Canis lupus familiaris: one gene and its partner. The protein of the gene in region 1 interacts with the protein of each later gene in a pairwise test. Links are inferred from orthologs where the notes say so. Each region holds a gene or a part of one and is shown in the gene's direction. Other genes may lie near its edges.

The links. The genes of interacting proteins can lie anywhere in the genome.
Region 2: the proteins of EXOC1 (region 1) and RESF1 interact in a two-hybrid assay, tested with the Homo sapiens proteins (2 studies listed by BioGRID and IntAct). The link is inferred for Canis lupus familiaris from reciprocal best matches to the Homo sapiens genes EXOC1 and RESF1.

Annotation. Positions count from the first base shown.
Region 1 is NC_049234.1:48,934,493-48,937,865, forward strand, and holds the end of EXOC1 (exocyst complex component 1), read left to right. Parts: coding exon 1-159; intron 160-1,766; coding exon 1,767-1,919; 3' UTR 1,920-2,831; downstream 2,832-3,373.
Region 2 is NC_049248.1:29,734,734-29,738,393, forward strand, and holds part of RESF1 (retroelement silencing factor 1), read left to right. Parts: coding exon 1-3,660. UniProt on the Homo sapiens protein: Plays a role in the regulation of imprinted gene expression, regulates repressive epigenetic modifications associated with SETDB1.

The DNA of each region.
Region 1 (3,373 bases):
GGTATAAGAGAGGAGGAAGTAAGCTATCAACTTGCGTTTAACAAACAAGAACTTCGTAAAGTCATTAAAGAGTATCCTGGAAAGGAAGTGAAAAAAGGTCTAGATAACCTCTACAAGAAGGTTGATAAACACTTATGTGAAGAGGAAAACTTACTTCAGGTATGCTTAGTTCTGTTCACCACCCTAGATTGTACATCTTTATGTATATTGCTTTTCTCCAAAAGAGTACTCTAGAAAGACTACAGATTTTCTAATTATAGTGCAGGAGGAAATTTCCATAAAGTACAGACCAGATTAATGAGTTGTGAGGAACAAAGGAATAATATTTATAAGTATATATGGCTATTCCTGCTTATTTTATATTTCTGCTTTATTGTTTTGAGGCATTAGTTTTTCTTTTGTTTGGGAGTAAGGCAGGGGTTTTTTTAGGCTTTTTGTTTGTTTTTTACAGATGAGAGTAACTGAACGGAATAGAGTATAGTACAGTGGAATGATTTAAGCATGGGAACCAGAGTTAGAAACAGGTTCATAATTTGGCTTCAGGTTAAGCTGTATGACTTTGGGCAAGTCATTTAACCTCTCTGAGCCTCAGTTTTCGTATTTGAAAAGTGGAAATGATACCTCTTTCATATAGTGGATACTACTATTATTGTCATTGCCATTTTATAGATGAGAAAATCAAAGCTTGGAGAAGTGGAGTAACATGACCAAGAACCCATAGTTAATGGATGGTAGAGTCAGATTTAAATCCCAAATTGAGCCATACTGAAAGGCCCAGAGATGAGTGAGAATAATTCTGGCTTCAACATCATCAAAGCCTTTATGAGGGCTATTGCATTTGTGTTCGCCTAAAGTCTCAGATAGTTACAGATAATAGGAGTGGCGGGTAGAAGAAATACCAAAGGCTAAAGATGTAAGGCAAAAAGTATATTATTTAGTAAGTAGACTTAAGGTGACAGGAATTTAGGATTTATGGGATTTAGCGTTTACAAGGAAAAATCCTAGAAGAATACATTCCCTCATCTATCGGGTAGTGATGATGGTCATAGCACCCACCCTCACCAGGTAGTCATGAGACTTAAATAGGATAATGCATATATAAAGCACTTTGTACTGTGCTGATAAAAAGTAAGTATCAATAAATGTCACCTGTTACTATTAGCTAATATCTCAATGTAATATCAGATTCTGTCCTGATAGTTATTTACATAGTAGTTTCTACTGCTAAACCATAAATCCTTAGATCGTATATAATCCATCTATTTCATCTTAATTTCCTTCATGGCTTCAAGCTATGTTTTGTATCATCAATTTGAGATAAATTTTTAAACTTTCATCTGAAATGAAATTTAAGGATTAACTGTTGCATTTCATTTAATTGCTAGTCTTAGTTCCATGCATAGTTGTGCATATACACATCTGTATTAGATATTGTAATAGATAAAATAATAGCTAAATGTAATGAGTGCTTACTATGTCAAATGTTCTAAGCACCTTACATACATGCACTCATCTAATCCTCACAAGAAACTTATGAGGAAGGCATTATTGTTACTACCCTGGTTTACAGAGGAGGAACTTGAGACCCAGAGCAGTGATGTAACATATTCAAGATCACATATCTTGTATGTAGAAGGAGCAAAGATGCATGTTCTTACCCATGACACTCTGCTAAATTCTTAGAATATGTCCTGACATTATTTCTACATACTTGATTATATATTTCCATTGGTAATTTAATGACTTTGTTTTCATTTTTGTAATAGGTGGTGTGGCACTCTATGCAAGATGAATTTATACGCCAATACAAGCACTTTGAAGGTTTGATAGCTCGCTGTTACCCTGGTTCTGGTGTTACAATGGAATTCACTATTCAGGACATTCTAGATTATTGTTCTAGCATTGCACAGTCCCACTAAAAAGAAGAGATAAATGAAAGAAGTGTCTACTATTTTATGTATATGTATATTTATATCTTCTTTTCATATACATATATATGAAAAGAAAAGCAAAGATTTAGATGCTAGGGAGCCCCTGTTGCTTTAACTCAACAGATTAGGCAGGAGGAATGGTTATATACAACTTTCCTTATTTGTGTAACTAATAACATGAGACCAACCTATTGCAGGTGGTCACTTGGATATATGTGCTAACAGGGGCATGTGAAAGGAAGAACAGCAAATTAAGTGTCCCTGAAAGTGACAGAACCATACTTTTGACAAGTTTATTTAATTCTTTGTGGTAGAAAAGGCACAGCTCCAATAAATGTATCATTTAAATTTTTAAAAATTAAAAAAACTTCTGAAAGAAGAAAAGATAAATGAAAAAGCACTCTGAGTACACCAGACATTATTCGAAATTTTCAAGTAACTGTTTTGAGAACCCAGACTTGAAACTTTATGCATTATTAAATGTCAGATAAATGGGTAATACCATACTACAAATATTCAAGAGCAAAAGTACCAACTTATTTAGCAGTTTTAGTTGCCCAATAGGTTGTGTACTAACTTGAAACATTTCTCTCATCATAAAATGCCTTTAAACATATTTCTATAACTGAACAGAAAGTTTTCTTTATTGCCTAGTTTCTTGTATTTGAGAATGGTTATCCTATGTGTAAGGCAGTAGGAGTTCTTCTGTTGCCATTAATTCACTATTGCTTACAAATCATGTAACTACTAAAATATTGTACAGAATATTTTTCCCTCTGTCTAATTAGTGTGTATATGGATAAGGGATCTTGCGATGATCATTTGTAAACTTAGATTTTGAGAATTATGTGATTCTGTGTGGCAAAAAATCTGAAATAAAGAAATTTTCCAAAAAAATAATTTTTTCAGAAAAGTTAAAATTTGGTATCATTCTCAGATCTGTTATACGCTGGTTTTTTGTATAAAAGCAAATTTTTACAAGATCAACATACAAAAATTACATGTTCATTTACCACAAAACACTTAAAAGTATAATAAGAGGGACATCCCAGGTGGCTCAGCGGTTTAGCGCCACATTCGGTCCAGGGTGTGATCCTGGAGTCAGTCCCGGGATCAAGTCCCACGTCAGGCTTCCTGCATGGAGCCTGTTTCTCCTTCTGCCTGTGTCTCTGCCTCTCTCTCTCTCTCTCTCTCTCATAAGGAAATAAAATCTTTTAAAAAAGTATAATAAAAATATCAAAAATATTTAGTATTTAGATCTAAATCTAAGAAAGCATTGTACTATGGACTGAATTGTGCCTTATGAAAATTCATATGTGGAGCCCCTAGTCTTTCCCCACAATAGTGCAACTGTATTAGAAATAAGGCCTATAAGGGAGTGATTAAGGTTTAATGAGATTATAAGGATAGAACCCTGATCCAACAAAACTGGTGCCCTTTTA
Region 2 (3,660 bases), on another chromosome or scaffold:
CCCTTGCTCAGAATAATCAAGAGAGAAGCGTAGACTCTTGTGATCTATCTTCAAATCAAATACTGGACACAAATGCCACAAAAGAGAAGTTAGTGAGGGATATTAAAACATTAGTAGAAATAAAAAAGAAGTTTTCCGAACTTGCAAGGAAAATTAAAATTAATAAAAATCTTTTGATGGCAGCAGGTTGTATTAAAACAACTGATACCCCTTACAATGAATTAGCTCCAAATTCTGAATTGTCTGTGAAACAAAATGTCCAAATCCAGTCTGGGCCACAGGTAACCCTACTGACTCCAGAGAATAAGCCACCAACCATAATGGAATCTGCAAAAGAAACAAGTAGAACACACACTACAATGAATTCTAACATTCAAGACCTCAATTGGGGAAATTGTAACCAAGTGAATTCTACTTTACGAAATTCTGTCTATTCAGAAAAGTTACCAATGCCAGACCAGTTAAATGATATGAAAGTTAGGACTTCTTTAAAGTCATCAACTGTTGAGATTACCCAGACAACATTAAATAACACCCAGGTTTCATCAGGAAATGTCAACGTTGAACCAAATGTGCCAACAAATTCTGAAACAACTTCTGTTCCTCAGTCTACATCTTTTGAGGAATATGTTTCAAAATACCCAAATAAAAATACGCTGATTCTCAGTTTACTTACATGTAGAGATAAACTACAGGAGAAATTATTTAAAAATACTGGTGAAACTATTCAGGGCTCTAAACCACATAGTTTTGAAATTAGTTCAAATACCCAAGTCACTGGTAACCAAACGAATTTGAAAACCATGGAAACTCCAAGTCCTTGTAATATAAATACCAAGGTTTTAGACAACTCTTTTTGCCTTGAGCGGAAATCCTCGAGTGGAATGTCTTCTAAAAGTGACCATCACTTTTCCATGGAATTGCTAGCAACATGTCTTTCTCTGTGGAAAAAGCAACCTAAAGAACCTACAGAAGAAAAACAGTATAATGAGGCAAAAAACAGAACAGCAGTTGGATTTTCAAAGCCTGTGGAAACCTGTGATAAGAGTCCATTTTTAGTTGTAGGAAATTCTCAGAATAAGATGGTAAACACTTCCCAAGAAACATCTTTGTCAACAGTAGTACAGAATTATGAGTCTTCCAGTGCAACTGTTACAAAGGGAACAGAACTTCAGGTTGCTGTAGTGTCACCCTTAATTCTTTCAGATGTCAAAACATTGTCTGCCAAAGGTGTAACACCTGAAGCGGTACCTGAAACACTGTATCCAGTTATTAAAGAAGGCAGTGTTTGTAGCTTACAAAATCAGTTGGCAGAAAATACCAATGTTACTGCTGCGTTGAAAGCTAATGTTAATGAACCAGTAGCAGATACCACAACAAATACAAAGATGTTCTCATCAGTTCAGAAGGAAGATCAAAATGAATCGACTAATTCAGAAGATACACCTAATAGCCATCAAGGAGATCATATCAAATCCGAACCAGATCCCCACTGTTCTGTGAGTGAACAGCAGGCCTCATATAAGTCAAGGAACAGTGATATTGTTAGTGGTGATATGTTACATATTGACAACATTTGTTCTCTTGTTGAAGGTGATACATCTTATAATTCCCAAATAGCAGAGATATTCAACTTGCCTCCTTTGAAAAGGGTTGAGCCACAGAAATCTTCTCTACCCAATCATCAAGTGATTAGTAAAAAAGAGCAAATAGACAGCCTCACTGAAAATAAAGACTTTGGTTTTCAAAATGGTAATTTTTCACTGTGTGTAGATGTTTCACATAAAATAACTGGACCAGCAGAATCACCACAACATCCAGAATCGTTATCTTTGAAGTATGTTAAAGCCAACAGTGAAATTCTAGAGGAAAGCAACGTGGAACATGTCACTAAAAAAGAAAGCACAGCTAATGATACATGTTCATTGTCTGCTATTCCTCAGGAAGGTGATGCGTCCTGCAATTATACTGCCCAAGATCCTGCAAGAAGTGAGATTCTCAATGATAAGGCATCTTTCTCATACCTACACGATCAGCTGTCAGAACTTTTAAAAGAATTTCCCTATGGTATTGAAGCTGTGAACACAAAGGAAGGTTCTGTGGCCCAACAGATAACCAACCAAATCTCAAAAGATCAAACTGGTTGTGACTTCAAGGACTCAACAGAACAAATACAGATTACGGTATTAAACTCTGAGCAAATGAAAGAATTATTTCCTGAACATGACGACCCACTCTGTGAGGTTGACAAGTTGACAGAACATCAGAAAGAAGAGCCTATAAAAATAGAAGGGAGTCCGTGTGACCCACAAGCAGATACAGATGGAAAGACTGATGATAATATAATGGATTCAGAGAAAGATGATGTTGGTTGCTATACATTGGGGTGGCTGTCTATGGTTTATGAAGGAGTACCCCAGTGTCAATATAATTGCATCAATAACTCAGCTTCAAAAGAAGACAAAGGGGAAAATCAGTGTTCACCTTTGAAGATCAAAAGTTGTAAGGAAGGAGAAAGAACTTCTGATAGAAATGTCTCTCGTGGATGTGAGAGTCCTCTAAATAACAATCTGAAGATTCCTTTGACTTTTCCAGATAAGAAAAACCATTCTCCTGAAATAGAGCAAGGCAAAAATATAACTGAAATGCCCAAAACAAAACACAAATCACTGAGGACAGAACAAGAATTATCAGGTCAGTTTTTTTCTAAAGGTGATAAAAAACTAGATTCCATGCAAAGTCACAAAAGAAAAGGAAAACTGCAGTTTCATGAGATAACTTTTCACACCAGTAATAAAATGACAAAATTTTCTCAAGAGAGTCTGCACCAAAAGCTCATGGCACAAAACTCACACCCACTAAAAACAAAGGCAGGCTTCTTGACAAATAAAAATAAAGATTTACATATGAAAAATGGTTCTTTGGTACAATCAGTATCCTCAGAGAAAAGATTGAAAGGTGGCTTTGGAACAGAAGTTTCGGATAAAAGGAAGTTAGATGATGGGAGCATACTTGATTCAAAAGTAAAGAAGAAGAAATATGATAAACAAGAGCAGAATAAAAATGGGGATGGAACATTTAAATTATGTAATATTTTGTCAATCCCAAATGAAAGAGCCAGGGTTAAAGAAAAGACTATGTCAAATGTTAAATCCGCAGCCTCTAAGGGTAACTCATCTAAAATTAATAAAGTTCTAACACCAAAGGAATATTTGCAAAGACAGAAACACAAAGAAGCAATGGGTAGCAACGCATCAAAGAAAAGCTGTGTGAGAAACTTACAGTGTGATTCTCAATACATGAAGTCTAATAAACTTTCCACGCAAGTAGGGAGTTGGGAGAAATCAAATGAGAGACACAATAGCAGTGTACAGACTTGTAAGGAATCATTAAATATTTGTGCAAGCCATGGTAAAAACCTCAAGACTGACTCTTCAGAGGAGTCTAAAGCATACATTTCAAGGGATGCTAAGGGAATAGTTGGTGGAAATCAACCTGAGAAAATGTGGATTGATAAAACCAAGTTAGACAAAAATTCAAACAGTGAAGTGGAATTCAGTCAAATGCCTCCCCAGTCAAAGGATCAAAGGAAAACGTATCTGAACAGAGTTGCATTTAGATGCACTGAGCACGAGAGCATTTGTCTCACAAAATTAGACA